3 linked regions of the Schizosaccharomyces pombe genome follow. Changing the gene in region 2 together with the main gene of any one other region gives a genetic interaction. Each region holds a gene or a part of one and is shown on either strand. Other genes may lie near its edges.

What was found. A genetic interaction does not mean that the proteins touch.
Region 1: mutations in pfd4 (region 2) and ase1 together harm fitness more than expected from each alone (negative genetic interaction), as found in Schizosaccharomyces pombe (2 studies listed by BioGRID).
Region 3: mutations in pfd4 (region 2) and hhp2 together harm fitness more than expected from each alone (negative genetic interaction), as found in Schizosaccharomyces pombe (2 studies listed by BioGRID).

The regions. Positions count from the first base shown.
Region 1 is NC_003424.3:1,876,189-1,882,183, forward strand, and holds ase1 (antiparallel microtubule cross-linking factor Ase1), read left to right. Parts: upstream 1-2,000; 5' UTR 2,001-2,173; coding exon 2,174-2,597; exon of another isoform or gene 2,598-2,644; coding exon 2,645-4,416; 3' UTR 4,417-4,538; downstream 4,539-5,995. Other genes in the region: SPOM_SPAPB1A10.08 (uncharacterized protein), read left to right, coding at 71-698, 771-1,393; GTPase Ypt71, read right to left, coding at 4,691-5,137, 5,192-5,290, 5,642-5,722. UniProt on the Schizosaccharomyces pombe protein: Required for anaphase spindle elongation and microtubule bundling in both interphase and mitosis. Has a role in spatial and temporal regulation of septation and cytokinesis and ensures equal partition of segregating sister chromatids.
Region 2 is NC_003424.3:502,815-507,677, forward strand, and holds pfd4 (prefoldin subunit 4), read left to right. Parts: upstream 1-3,094; 5' UTR 3,095-3,169; coding exon 3,170-3,541; downstream 3,542-4,863. Other genes in the region: yea6 (NAD+ transporter), read right to left, coding at 164-1,279; atg10 (autophagy C terminal domain family protein), read left to right, coding at 2,239-2,778; yip5 (Rab GTPase-binding protein), read left to right, coding at 3,729-4,478.
Region 3 is NC_003424.3:1,047,315-1,052,593, forward strand, and holds hhp2 (serine/threonine protein kinase (CK1 family) Hhp2), read left to right. Parts: upstream 1-1,683; 5' UTR 1,684-1,720; coding exon 1,721-1,884; intron 1,885-2,050; coding exon 2,051-2,774; intron 2,775-2,860; coding exon 2,861-3,175; 3' UTR 3,176-3,822; downstream 3,823-5,279. Other genes in the region: atp18 (F0-ATPase subunit J), read left to right, coding at 2-71, 121-171, 216-277; SNARE protein Bet1, read left to right, coding at 4,415-4,425, 4,469-4,607, 4,657-4,860. UniProt on the Schizosaccharomyces pombe protein: Involved in DNA repair. May regulate the activity of protein(s) involved in double strand break repair caused by gamma rays.

The sequences.
Region 1 (5,995 bases), 1.4 Mb from region 2:
AACCGGTAGGATTTGATCAATTGGCTTTATATATAGGCGCTATATTTTCTTTCTTTTTACATTTCTTTCTATGATGACTCGGATGGAATTAAGACCATTGGAAATTGGCTTCTCTAAAGCACTCACAGAAGTAGCTCCGGTAACTTGTCAATGCGAATGTTGGGATCATAATCTTTGCAGCTCTCAAGCTAGTGAGATGGATTTAATTTATCAGTCTCAGGATACCCATTCTTGTGCATCAAAGCAAGACGCCGTTTTTCAGTTGCTGAGTGAAACCAAGATCCCTGTTCCCAATCGTTATAGAAAAATTTCACATCGCTTGAGTACTCTATCTAATAAAAAAACTCTTAAATCACAATTAGATCGTTTTTTGTCTTCGTCCAAAAAATTACACAATGATGATGTTAATAGAGGTGATTACTGCTTTCTTCTTTCTACACCTGTCGAGTGTTCTGCTTCTACCAACTCTCATTCTTACGACTGTTTGTGGAATTTTTCGTGTAATTCATTCCCTGAATACTCCTCCTACTCTGCTTCGGAAACGTCTTCAGTCGCTTCTTACTCTTACTATTCGGGGCCAAATCCTGCAACTCCCAGCTCTTCCTCTTGTAACCTCGTAAACGCAAATAGCCTTGATATTTACTTGAATATTAACAACTTAAAAAAATCCAAATCTGTTCCTCGTTTAAGAGGTCAATGTATGTTCTTTTAAGATTTTTCAACCTTTTCTCTTATCTTTTATTTATTCATCGTTGCTAACAATATCATAGTTATGGAGCCCGTAGAGCATAACCATCCACTTTCTAAAAGTCTTGAGGAGCAATCCTCTTTTTTGGAACAATCAAAGGATGCTTCCTCTAACTTGACCGCCTGCAATAGGAGTGGCTCTAGTTTATCATCTAATTTCTACTCATCTAGGTTGTCCAAAAAAACATCTTTAGCATCTTTAAATAAGTCTCGAGCTTCTTTACAGCATAAAATAATGTCGCTATCTCGTAATATCATCAGACGTGTATTTCACAAGCCAGAAGTGCATTTGGATCCAAGTGCCTCCATTTTAAATCTCTCATCTTCGCATGGCGAAAGCAACCTGACAAATGGTTTGCTTTGTCAAAATTTCAAGCTTTTTCAGGATGATTGGTTGATGGAGGATTGTGCGCCAGATGCCAATTTCACTTTGTACACCCCGCTTCAACCCTGGGAAAAGCGAAGTGTGAAACCTGAAATCAGACGTCCTCGATTAAATCCTAATTTTTTCCGAGTATTTGTTTTAGAAGCTCAAATGCGACGAGCTGGAAAGCTATCAGCAAACACTGCTGGCCGAGCCCAGTTAATTTACCTCCCAAAGCCTGCCGTTACCTTCTCCACTAGCCCTTTGCATGTTGAATTGTAAAAATTTAACGCATGACTTATATACATTTGCATTCTTCCAAGCTGGTTATATTTATTTTCATTTTTTTCTCACCCAATACTTTTTTATCCCTACTGTCTTTATGGACAATCGACTCACAATTGTTTCTTTTTGTTGTATATGATTTTTTTTTTAAAGGAAATGGGTTTCGCGATACTGGGTTGAATCCCAATTGCGGTTAATATTACATAAAATAATTCTCCCATAGTCCTAGATCCTGTCTTTGAATATGAGCAAATAAAAGAATTGAACAAATCATGAATGCTTTTCTCTCTTAGATGATATTTTGTATGCATAAGTCTAATTATATTGATTACGATAAGACTTAAAAAGTAAGCCTTTGTATCCTTTTAAGCAGTATTTGAATTTTCTTGTATCATATTTTAGGTAGAGCAAAAGATACCAGTTTGTAGAACTTTATGTGCTTCCTTACATTGGTATATTTCAGGCACATAAATATTCTTCAACTTACAATTCTAAGTATTTTGTTTATACTAAAAGGAGCTGAATAACGTTTATACAGTGCTGACATTGAAATCTATTTGCTTTCTTTGGAATATAAGCGCATGCTGAGTTACTTTCGCAGGCCAAGCCATATCCAACCACCATTTTTGTGCCAAGCTTTTATGCAAGGTTAATTCCTTGTACTGCTTGTTATGTTATAATATATCAACATCTTAACAGTTTTCATATCTTCCTTTATATTCTATTAATTGAATTTCAAACATCGTTTTATTGAGCTCATTTACATCAACCGGTTCAATGCAAACAGTAATGATGGATGACATTCAAAGCACTGATTCTATTGCTGAAAAAGATAATCACTCTAATAATGAATCTAACTTTACTTGGAAAGCGTTTCGTGAACAAGTGGAAAAGCATTTTTCTAAAATTGAAAGGCTTCACCAAGTCCTTGGAACAGATGGAGACAATTCATCATTATTTGAGTTGTTTACAACGGCAATGAATGCCCAGCTTCATGAAATGGAACAGTGCCAGAAAAAACTTGAAGATGACTGTCAGCAAAGAATTGATTCAATCAGATTTTTGGTTTCCTCATTAAAGTTAACGGATGATACTTCTAGTCTCAAAATTGAGTCTCCTTTAATTCAGTGTTTGAATCGTTTGTCAATGGTAGAAGGACAATATATGGCACAGTATGATCAAAAGTTAAGTACGATTAAAGGTATGTAATCGTCTTTAATTTAGACTTGTGTTTTAACTGATGTATAGAAATGTATCACAAATTGGAGTCATATTGTAACCGCTTAGGAAGTCCGTTCGTTTTACCTGATTTTGAGAATTCATTTTTATCTGATGTATCCGATGCTTTTACTGAATCTTTGAGAGGACGCATCAACGAAGCCGAAAAGGAGATTGATGCGAGATTAGAGGTTATTAATTCCTTTGAAGAAGAAATTTTGGGTTTGTGGTCTGAACTCGGTGTTGAGCCCGCTGATGTTCCACAATACGAACAATTGCTTGAATCCCATACTAATCGACCAAATGATGTTTATGTTACTCAAGAACTTATCGACCAACTTTGCAAGCAAAAAGAAGTTTTTTCCGCTGAAAAAGAAAAGAGAAGTGATCATTTAAAAAGTATACAATCAGAAGTTAGCAACTTGTGGAATAAGCTTCAAGTTTCTCCCAATGAACAAAGTCAATTTGGCGATTCATCAAACATTAATCAAGAAAATATTTCATTATGGGAAACTGAACTTGAAAAACTTCATCAGTTAAAAAAGGAGCATTTACCCATTTTTTTAGAAGACTGTCGTCAACAAATTCTTCAGCTTTGGGATTCTCTGTTTTATTCAGAAGAACAAAGAAAGTCCTTTACACCTATGTATGAAGACATTATTACAGAGCAGGTTCTTACGGCCCATGAAAACTATATAAAGCAACTAGAGGCCGAAGTTTCTGCTAATAAGTCCTTTTTAAGCTTAATTAATCGCTATGCCTCTTTAATAGAAGGAAAGAAAGAGCTTGAAGCTAGTTCTAATGATGCCTCTCGTCTAACACAACGGGGACGCCGGGACCCAGGTTTACTTCTACGTGAAGAGAAAATCCGTAAGCGACTTTCTAGAGAACTTCCTAAGGTTCAGTCGCTGCTTATACCAGAGATTACAGCATGGGAAGAAAGAAATGGAAGGACGTTCCTTTTTTATGATGAACCACTTCTCAAGATTTGCCAAGAGGCCACTCAACCAAAATCATTATATAGAAGTGCAAGTGCTGCCGCAAACCGCCCGAAAACAGCAACTACAACGGACTCTGTTAATAGAACACCTTCTCAACGAGGGCGTGTAGCTGTACCTTCAACACCAAGTGTTAGGTCCGCTTCTCGAGCTATGACGAGTCCAAGGACACCGCTTCCTAGAGTAAAAAACACTCAAAATCCAAGTCGTTCCATTAGTGCAGAACCGCCATCAGCAACCAGTACCGCCAATAGAAGACACCCCACTGCTAATCGAATTGATATAAACGCTAGATTAAACAGTGCTAGTCGGTCTCGAAGCGCGAACATGATAAGACAAGGGGCAAATGGTAGTGACAGCAATATGTCTTCTTCACCCGTTTCTGGAAATTCCAATACCCCTTTTAACAAGTTTCCAAATTCTGTATCTCGCAATACACATTTTGAATCCAAGTCACCGCACCCAAATTACTCTCGAACTCCTCATGAAACGTATTCAAAGGCTTCATCTAAGAACGTCCCATTAAGTCCTCCAAAGCAGCGTGTAGTTAATGAACACGCTTTAAATATTATGTCGGAAAAATTGCAAAGAACTAATCTGAAAGAACAAACACCCGAGATGGACATTGAAAACAGCTCGCAGAACCTTCCTTTTTCTCCTATGAAGATATCCCCCATAAGAGCATCACCCGTAAAGACAATTCCATCATCACCGTCCCCCACTACCAACATTTTTTCTGCTCCACTCAACAATATTACAAATTGTACACCGATGGAGGATGAATGGGGAGAAGAAGGCTTTTAAGCTTCTTATTTACCTAATCGATCAAATTTAAATATACATATTTTTGCATATGAATACAGCATATAGATAATTCATAAAAGTTTATTAACTGAGGTCATAATTAAAAGACTATTTACACCTAAAAAAAAACGTGTATCAATAGAGGGAAAAGAGAAGAATTAAGAACAGAAAGTAACCATAGTTTTGTTAAAATAGCAATGTAAAAAAATATTATGAAAAGAAAACGTATAGCACATTTTGAAATGTAAAAGAATCTGAGAGAGCGTGTGAATATCTAGCAATTACAAGAAGATGTATTATTCAAAGGCTTTGAAAGAAGCAAAGGTTCAGAGAAGTCATTAACAAAGTCATCTCTCGAGCTTTCATTTTCTAAAGCTAAACGACTGACTGTTTCGAAAAGGTCAGTAACGTTTGTATTTTCTTTTGCACTAGCTTCAAAATGAATCATATTTGATCCATGTTTGGATTTGCAATAGTCAAGAGCTCGATGAAGAGATACGGCTCGTTTAGACGCGTCTTTGTCGATTTGATTTCCAACGATAATGAAAGGGAATGCACATTCATCTTGTGAAGTTTGATATAAAAATTCTTGCCTCCAGTTTTCTACTGAGTCAAAAGACTTCGAGTTATTCACATTATAAACAATTACACAACAATCGGCCCCTCTGTAAAAAGCCATTCCCAGGCTTTGAAATCGTTCTTGACCAGCAGTATCCCAAAGCTGTTTATAATTAGCAAACGAATTTAGATGGGCGGAACTTATATTGGAACTTACCTGTAATGTGACCAATTTGTCGTCAACCACAACGTCCTTGGTTAAAAAATCAGCACCGATGGTAGCTTTATATTCGCGACTAAACTTTTGATTGACGAACTAAAATGACGATGTTAACAAATTGCCAAAGCAATACTCATAGAGAAGCTGATGTAAAGATCGTTAACCATATTTGAGCTAGTATTTAATAACAAAGTGAATAAATTTTAAAAGCAATCACCTTGTAGCGACAAATAACAACTTATCGACATAAAATCAATGGGAAATTGCAGTATTGGATTTTACAGCTCAATACAAAAACCAAAAAGAAAAATATACTGAACGTATAAAATTTAACGCTTCAATTGATAACCACTACACCATCAATGGTTGAATTCGAGGGTAATGCTTAAAAAAGCTCGTCTGTACGATACGTCGACCACATCAGCAACTCCCCTAGCATTAACATACCTGATTCATTAAACATGTTTTTCCAACGCCACTATCTCCTAATATAACAACCTTTAAAAACACCCTTTTCTGAGCCGACATTGAAGTATATTCTGTCGTACCTGGTAGTAAGAAGTTCAGCCCTTAGAATGTCCATCTGGGACAGCATTGATAGTGTCTTTCAGTTTGACACATTACAGTAAGTAGCATTACAATACTTCGTTGCATAGCGTTGTTTTAAATACGAATCTTTACCGTAAATTTTTATAACAATATTTAACGAAAACGAATAACTCACTAAGTTTTTAATAAGATACATTTGCTTTCAATAGACATTACAGTGAAGGATCTAGTTATCTGACTACTATCCTGGGA
Region 2 (4,863 bases):
AGAGGGGGTAAGAATAAGAATTAGGAAAACCTAACAGCTGTGAGACAGTAATAATTAATATTAGAAATCATGCACACATCTCAAGGAAACTGATTAACCTTGGATTGTCGTTAAAAAAATAAAGACTTTGATCGTTTTCTTGAGTATATACACAACGGATAAATTAGTTCAGCCATTTGCGAACAATTTCGAAACTGAGGAAGGTAACCGAACTGGCAGGTATGGTGCGTATAAAATTTGTTGCCATGCCAGAGTAATATTTTCTCCAACCCTCTGAACGCCATATGTCTCGAATAAGTAAGGTAGCCGAGTTGTGTGTAGGTGCATCCAAACTCTGCAACCGAGTTCTCAAAACTTCATGAGGATAAGTGACGGTAGAAGCTGCGATTTTAGACAAAGTAGCTGCTAACACTATATGAAAGTTGCTTTTTTTACCAAAAAAATCATCCAAAAATGATTTAAAATATTCGTACAGTGGAAATTGGATGCCAACATGCAATGTACCAAATAAAGAGGGGAAAAGACCTCGGTAAAATGCTGCAAGGCCTTCGTATTTATAAATTTTTCGAAATGCGTCAAATGTGTTGTTGTATGCAGGTGAACATGCAGGGCCTGTGGGAGGATTCACTGGATGCTGTGATGGAGAAGATTTGACATTCGTCCTACGCTTGAGCCAAAAGCGAGGCATTCTCCATTTGACGGATGGTGCGTCCGTTTGAAGATTACGAAACTGGACGGTTGTAGCCGCAGCAATTTTATCTACAAAAGAAGAAGCCCTAGGATGTGATTGAGTGACTAACCTTGTTTTTACAACCCAAATGGGGTTAGTAAGAGTGACACTTGCAGCACCGGCGATAACCGCAGAAAAGATTTGACCACCCCAGTAACGATAAAATTGTTTGTCAGAACTATCTAAGGAAGCCTTGATGCCAACCTTGGACGAATCAATTTCGTGGAGAGAAGTGTATTTTTTATTTACCCCAAATAGCACTTTGCATTTTTCATAGACTACAAAATAAATGGACCAACTAGGAAGATAACCTAACATCATGGGTCCAACACCTCTATAAAGACCGGCGATGCCTTCATTGTGAAAAATTGTTCGCATCGAACTGAGGGTCCCACCCAAAACCATTGTATTTTTTCCACCACCAGTTGAATAAAAAGCCTTTTGTGCCTGCTTTCTTGTTTTTACTACATCTAAAGGTGCCACTACAAGAGAAGAGGCCAATCCAGCAGCTCCTCCTGCTATAGCATCCTTTAGAGAATCATCAACCATAAAGACGGATCAATTTCCTGATGATAATGCATGCATCTAAAGAAAACAGCAATTAAATAATAGACCTTGACAAATTCTTTACTTTTTTAGACGCTGATAAGAACGATCCAACGCCTTACGATGTTTCAAATTGGAAATGTATATATATTTTAGCGTTGATGTAAGAAGCTGTACAACAACATATATGTAAGTAAAGTGTTTGGCAGCCGTCAATAAGAAAGTCGAATCACTGTGCGGTAAACCACATTAACGACATGAATGTCTCCGAATTACTAATTGAGAGGACGTTCCATGCCCTTAAAAGAGAATTTCTTTTATATGTGCATATCAGATATGATTAAAGTCGTAATGCCCATTAACAATATATAATGGTGACATTGATGTTGCTAACAGCTTTACACACATATCTCAATTTTACTTCACAGATCAGTTGGCTTTATAAGCACCATTGGAACAGTGCTTTTGCTTTTGCTTTTGCTCGTATAAGTATTAAGAGGAAATTACTAATATAAAACCTTAGTTTTTCATTTTTTTCCAAGTCCAAACATATTGTTTTTATACATTAGCTTCTCTTGATTACCGCCAATTTCTAGTCGAAAAAATTATTTTTTTAAGAAATCCTACATTTGCTGAGAAGAAATGTTGAAAACGTAGTAACTACACAGTGTACCACTATATTGTTGGATAACTTTGTAAACTCCAACGTACTGTTTTGTCATACTCTTATTGTCAACTTTAGAAGCAAGATGTAGAATTAATATACTTGTAAATAACTGAAACACCATTTTTGTCGAGACTTAACTTCAAATATATTGACAGGTGATTGCCTCTATTGCCCTCATTGGAATAGTGCGTTGAACAATCAGACTGTAGCCAGGCTTATGGGACAATAATTCCTTCTTCAATTACTTATTGCTTTAGCAAAGATAAAGTGATTAAATTGGCTAACCGTGACAATAATGAGCTTTAAGTCTCAATTACTTATCCTTGCTCAGAAGCTGTCGAAAGGTGGTATTTCTTGTGAGTTGATTGAGTTTGATGAGTGTATTTTGAAGTTAGAATGGCATACTGAGCTACTTGATAAAAATGATTCCTTATTATACGAGCAGGAAGAAGATGATATTTTAAGCCTTATGAATCCAATGATCACTATGCACGCCTGGATTAGGGATTCTCCATCCTTCGAAGTCCCGCAGTTCTTCTTTCAACCTTATGCAAACGGATCAGATCCTCTTACCAAGATGGAACAGATTTTTGAGTTATTAGAAGGATCCAGTCAAAATTTAGCATATGACGCTCTTGCTATTGGGGACTGTCCAGGTACAGTAGGCATAGCATGGTATATCCATCCATGTCGTACGCGTGATTATTTCGAAATGCTTCAGATAGACAAAGAGGATCCCAAGTATCTCTCTCTTTGGTTGCTATATATTCATCAAGTCCTTTCTCCGCTAACTCAGCCTATAATAAAAGCAGTTGACGATGCCGAAAAATCCTAAAGATAACCTGTTATAAACGGGTATGCTTGCTAAGACTTTGTCTTATTAAATATTATTCCCCATGATTAAAACTAAATTAAAAGTCAATTTAATCCGTATTCTCTGGTTTTAGTTTATAATACCCTGTGAATCTATAGTAAAATTTTGACCTGTTATTTGACAGCAAAAACATTACGGATCTGAAGACCTCAATTGTAGAAAATAGCTTTTGTTCTTTAAATTTGTAGATAAAATACTATACTAATTAATAATCCTTCTGTTTTGACATATCATTCAACTGTTCCACTTAAACCTCTACTTGACCGCATTGATCTCTACACCAACAATTGTTTGTTAAGACAAACGAAACCGGGTTATATACTATTCCTCCTAACACACCTTAGCAACAAATATGGAACAAGTTCCTGTTCTAGCAGAAGATCAAAGGAATTTAAATGAATTTTCAGTGTTGCATTCTCGAAAGGCCATTCAAGAACTTGATATTAAGAATTTAAAAACGCAAATAGAGGATATTGTTGACGCTAAAAATGAATGTGAATTACTAGACGAGGATGATGGAGACGATATTCCAGCTTTAAAGGTTGGCGATGCCTTTTTCCAAGTTTCCCTTCCTGTACTCCTTGACCAGCTTGAGCAGTCAGAAGAAAGTTTGGAAAAGCAAGTCGACGTATTAAGATCTTCCATGGAAAAAGACGAAACCCGCATTCAAGAGTTGAAATCAATGCTGTACTCTAAATTTCACGATCAAATTAACCTAGACTAAGATTTGGAAAAAGCAGCAAATCTCAAAATTAGAAGCTTCATCTTATTTTTCTGAATTAGTTTCTTTAATTAAATAACATTTCATGCATTTAAATTTATTCACAATACCAAATCTGTATGCAATTAGCGCCTCCAATAAGTAAACTTCTTTGTTCACCCTAAGCCATTACAAGTATCCAACCACCACTATGGCACATGAGATTGAAATTGACTCGGAAGCTGACCTAGGTCGTACAACATTTGAGGCTGAAGACCTTTATAAGCAGAGAACTCCCATTACAAAGCCTCCGGCCCCTAGATTACAATCTCGTCGCGCATCCATGCAAGAGACGCCATGGACCATCAAAGATTCATTTAACGTGGAAACTAAAGATGTGGTTCAACGATGTATACATACTCTTATTCCCACTGTAAATTTCTTTGATGTTGTAGATGATCGTCCCGATTTATACGGTCCTTTTTGGATAACCACTACGGTTATACAGGCTCTATTCTTTTCCAACTCAATTACCGAATACGCTCGTTATGCCACAGGGCATGGTACAAGTGGCTATTCTATAAAAAAGTTGATCTCTGCAGCATCAATTATTTATGGTTACACTACCATTATCGCCGTTTTGTTATGGGGTATCCTAGTGTGGAACAAATGCAACCCTAAGTTACTCGACTGTCTGTGTTTATATGGATATGCTAACATTGTTTGGCTTCCCGTTTCTTTAGCAACTCCTCCGTTTGGATTGCTATCTACTTTGGCCTCCCATATTGTCAAATATGTACTTACAGGGATTGGTTTGTTAATTTCCATTGTGTTTTTAACTAGAAATTTATATCCTATCTGTCAGCAAGCCGGATCAAATTTGTGCAAACTTTTATTGTTCGGAATTATCGTCTTTCACTGTTTGCTCGCTTTGTCTCTTCAACTCATATTCTTCAGTTAATATCCTAATTTGTGAGGAGTTTCTTTTATCAGTCGCATTGCTTCATTCGAAAATTATACTATTCCCCTTCTTTCATTCTTTAGAAAAGTCATTCAGCATTTAAGATCCTATTGAGTCTAAGTGTTGGTATACTCTATATGATTCAGTTTATACATATATTCGCTTTACATTTGATTTTCTACTCTTTTTACTATAGCTACTAATGTTCCCTCAATTTACTAGGTTTTTTTTTCAGGTGCAAAATACGTATAAATAATCATTTCTTATGCATTGATGAATCATGCCTTAGTAAAAATAATTGTAGCCTTTTTAGTGAACCAAAGACTTTATGACATTTAGTCATATTTTTGCAATCGATCTCCCGTCATTTATATAGAAAACTTAA
Region 3 (5,279 bases), 540 kb from region 2:
AATGTCGTTCTTTGGCCTTAAAAGATATTCTACTCCTATTTTAAAACCTATGCTTCCTTTTTTTCTAGGGGGTATGTATATTTTTCAACGATTTGAATTATTATTAACATGTCTTGACAGGAGCCATCGTATTCTATGGTACTGTAAAGCTTCGTGATGCTATGATGGATTGTACGTTTTTAATAGAAATAGAACAATTTTTTAACTCTATGTAGCTGCGGAGTATCGCAATGATCCTAGAAACCCAAAGGCTGGAAAGTACGGAAGTGATCATTAAGTTGATGACGAGTTCATGTCTTTCACTTCCTAAAATGTTTCAGCCCTTTTGATGTGATTTAATGGAAGTCAATGAAATTACACTGCTTGTTTTTGTAGCAGTTACAATTGATCAAAAGTTCTGTAATCAATCGAATTTATTTGTAGGAGATCAATCATTTAAATTAAAGTATTAAATGTATATTTAAATATGAACTTTTCAAATAAACAGAAGGAAAAAATGAATTTCCATGCTTTTTAGGAATACATGTGTTGCACGAAATAAATATTCACTTTGACTGAAAAGTTATGTACTTAGTCGTCATTTAATTCGCTCATTTTGTAATCTTTTAATTTACCTAGATAATTTGATAATCCTCAGAAAAAGTACCTCAAACATATTGTTCCTATTTTGTGTTTCCAATTAAGCAGATCTTTGGGCACGGATTTCAAAAGCTGTAAAATAACGTATTACAGAAGGTTTAGTATACACTTCTATATTGAAGCTGGTATTGTATTCTCTAGAACTGAGGCTTTTACTAAAAATAAAGCAGTATTAGCATTTTTCGTTTTCAATACTACTTCGCCATGTAGGCGATCGTTTTTTGCATTCACTCCAAAAAAGAATCATCGGAAAAACTATTGAAAGAGAATAGCAGTTCAATATGATTCTGTAAGTAAAATCCTGAACGTTCATAGAAAATCATTTTGGATTTGTTTGCTTTGTTTACAAAACAAATCACTTTGAAGTGATTCTCTTTGAGGATATGAAAAAATATGCTAGAATTCCACATTCTTCATAATGTAAACAAAACATTATTGCTTTTTGTATCAATAAATTTAATCCAAACCTCTTTTCTTTCCACTAGAAAACCACATGTCATTCATATTTTGTACTTTTCGGAAGAAAGTCAGAACAAGCTCCCACTCAGGTACTTCATGCTACAATGTAATGCACAAACAATTGAAGGGTAAAATATCTGTTGGAGCAAATGATTCCGTGACATTTCAGCCACATCACAAACGGCTTACTTCGGAATAAACAAATATTATTCTAACGGAAAAGAAAAAAAAAAATCCGCGTTCAGTAGAAGTCACTGCAAAAATATGAACCAACAAATTTGAATTCGCTTTGCTTACTAAATTTATTAAGTCTCATGTAAAGAAACAATCAACATCCACAGCCTTAAGGCAATCATGGTACAAACATTAAATAAAATATTCCACTCTTTTAGAAACGAGCATCTTAAAAAATTAGTTGACGAGGGAAGTAAACAAAGACATTGAAGTATTGCTTAGTAAAATAAAAAATTAGTCACATTACATTGTATATATCATGTATTCAAAACATCCTTCTACTCCAAATATAGCTCGTTGCAGCGCTCTATTTGCCTTCCTCTTTGATTTCTGTGATGATGCGATTCTAACAACCACAGTCATCTCTGTGAATTAGAATCTTAGCAAAATGACGGTTGTTGACATTAAGATTGGTAATAAATATCGTATAGGTAGAAAAATTGGTTCTGGCTCCTTTGGTCAAATTTACCTGGGATTAAATACGGTAAATGGAGAACAAGTTGCTGTGAAATTGGAGCCTTTAAAGGCTCGTCATCATCAGTTAGAATATGAGTAAGTAGTGCTTTAATATTTTTTTACTTAAGTATAAGTTGGATTTCTTTCGGAACTCCAATTTCTTCTTTATATCTATCAACCGTAGCTCGATGTTTTACAACCAAAAAGGAAAAGCAAAAGTTACTCCATTTGGTTATTTTTCTTTTTTCTTTCTAACATTTAGGTTTCGTGTGTATAATATTCTTAAAGGAAATATTGGCATACCCACAATTCGCTGGTTCGGTGTAACCAATAGTTATAATGCTATGGTCATGGATTTATTAGGCCCTTCTCTGGAAGATTTATTCTGCTATTGTGGAAGAAAGTTTACTCTTAAAACGGTTCTTTTACTTGCTGATCAACTCATCAGTCGCATTGAATATGTTCACTCCAAGTCATTCTTACATCGAGACATTAAGCCTGATAATTTTTTAATGAAGAAGCACAGCAATGTTGTTACGATGATTGACTTCGGATTGGCGAAAAAATACAGGGATTTTAAAACTCATGTTCATATTCCATATCGAGATAATAAGAATCTTACGGGAACGGCTCGATATGCTAGTATTAACACCCATATTGGTATTGAACAATCTCGCCGTGATGACCTCGAATCGTTAGGTTATGTTTTACTTTATTTTTGTCGCGGCAGTTTGCCCTGGCAAGGCTTACAAGCTGATACAAAGGAGCAAAAGTATCAACGGATACGTGATACCAAGATTGGCACTCCTTTGGAAGTCCTTTGCAAAGGTCTTCCCGAAGAGTTTATCACTTACATGTGTTACACTCGTCAGCTTTCGTTTACCGAGAAGCCAAACTATGCTTATTTGAGAAAGCTGTTTCGTGATTTACTTATTCGTAAAGGATACCAGTATGACTATGTTTTTGACTGGATGATATTAAAATACGTAAGTTTTGAAAAGAAAATGATAAGGTGATACGTTAGTTTAACCTTAACAAATGATTGAAAATTCGATTGACTAACTATTATTAGCAAAAGCGAGCTGCTGCTGCTGCCGCCGCTTCTGCTACAGCACCTCCACAGGTTACATCTCCTATGGTGTCACAAACTCAACCGGTTAATCCCATTACTCCTAATTATTCATCCATTCCCTTACCTGCTGAGCGGAATCCAAAGACTCCACAATCTTTCTCCACTAATATTGTTCAATGTGCTTCTCCCTCACCTCTTCCTCTCTCCTTTCGTTCTCCTGTTCCCAACAAAGATTATGAATACATTCCATCTTCGTTGCAACCTCAATACAGTGCTCAACTGAGGCGTGTTTTAGATGAAGAACCAGCTCCTTGATTTTTTGACTTTACTTTTCATCAATTCCTCTCTTACACTACGTCTTTTAGTCTTAAATTCCAAACCATCTGTTGACGTTTTAAAGTTCCACAAATATCTTTAATAATTCCTGGCTTTCTTTTTTGTCTATGGATGGCCGGATTGCTACACTAATACACTTTGAGGTTTAGCTATTGTTTTGAGCTATTCCATTTTGCCTAGAAGTTGAGTTTTAATGCCTTCTTTTTAAATAGACATATTGTGTAAACCTCATACATGCTTTACTGAAAAGACATAATTAGAGGACAAAATTTAAATCGTGCTGTTTGTTTATATTCAGCTCGTTCCGGTCAAGTTCTTGCCAAAGAATTGAGTCAGTCGTGCTATTCATTTCTAAATTTCTTCTTCCCAGAATTTTATTTTATTGTTTTCGTTCCCCATTGGTTCTTACATTCCGTTTTTATTCAAAACTGAAAAGTTTGTACCTCCATTGCTAGAAGTAATATACACAAGGAGCATGTTTCTTTTTTTACACTATCATTTGCGTGGCTCTAAACCAGTCTTTATTGCCTACCTTTGCAATAAAAGATATAATATCAATTGCATAAGAAATAATTCATTAATAAATGATAAATTTCATCGATTAAATAGATCGCTATTTTTCACACTGTATTATGGGCAAGTAGCGTAAAAAATATTAGCTCTGTTGGAGTTGACCGCTGGATCATCAAGTTTTACATACTATTTAATTTCGGCTGTAGCAAAGAAAAATATCCATCGATTTGCCATATTATCATATCTATTGCTTTCTGTGGTATTTTAACCACCGGTATTTCACTTCTACAAATGTAAACAAAGCACGTTGATTTGTTTACATTACAGTTGCCCCAGTAACACATTATGGATCAGCACCACAAAGAAAAATCATTCAAAATTGATGCTCAAATTCAATATTCTACAGGCTCAAGAAGGGATCTATACTTATTTTTACTAAACCCATAACTATCATCTCTGTTTCGTCTGCGGTAAAAAAAAAATTGTTTAGATTAATGTAAAAACAGAGCAAAATGAGATTTGTCACTTAGTACAACAATGTGTTACCTCTACACGCAACTCCTGAGTTGCGTCGCATGTTATTTGATGAGCTGACTTTGCGCACAAAACCAATACATAACAAAGAGATCTTAGGATTTGGAAGTTGCGCTACACCAAATACTTTTCATATTCGGTAAAGGGAAAGATTTTAAAAAAAGCTTCAGAATGGGATCAAGGTATGTACTAAATCTGATCAATCAATGTCTAACTAATCATTAGATTCGGTAGAAGAAAAGAACGCAATGGCGATATGTTGCCCTTGTATGAGTCTCAATCTCCTCAGCATTTAGACTCCTTGGAAAATGAAAATGATGAACGGATTTCAAAGTTAACTGGAAAAGTCAAGTCTTTGAAAGAGGTAAGATTTTTGCCATCATCAGGAAAAACATGCTAACTAATTTTAATAGCTTACTATGAATATTGGGACTGAGATAACGTCTTCTACTAAGTTGATGGAGTCAATGAACGACTCATTTGACTCGACCAAGTCACTTTTGAGCGGGACAATGACTCGATTAAAGAATGTTTCGAAGAATGGAGGAATTTCAATTTGGATGTGGCTCGCCTTCTTTTGCCTCGTTGCGCTTATCCTCGTTTTGGTAAGATTTTAGGCATTTTGCTTACTACCTTTACTCTTTTTTAGAGTTAGCATTTTTATGATTCATTTTATGGCGTGTATAATCTGTTAAAATTGTATACTTGAAGTTTCTTCATTCTCTTTTCTTCTAACATTTTCATTCTGATTATTTTAAACTTATTATCGATAGAAAAAAAACATTCATCCACCTTTGGTGTTTCCACACAAGTGGTTTGTCACGATAGGAACGCAAATCCTCAATTTTTGTTTTCCTAACGACTTTGTTTTTAACTTATTACATCCTGTTATTATAAGTTTCTATCTGTTATTCATGATACTAGCCCTTCACTCGTCGTCTTACCATTTTTGTAAATTGACGCAACTATTACATTTGAGTTTTATTCAAGTTTATCGGCATGCAGGTCATGTCTTTTGCATTTTCTATTCCCAAGC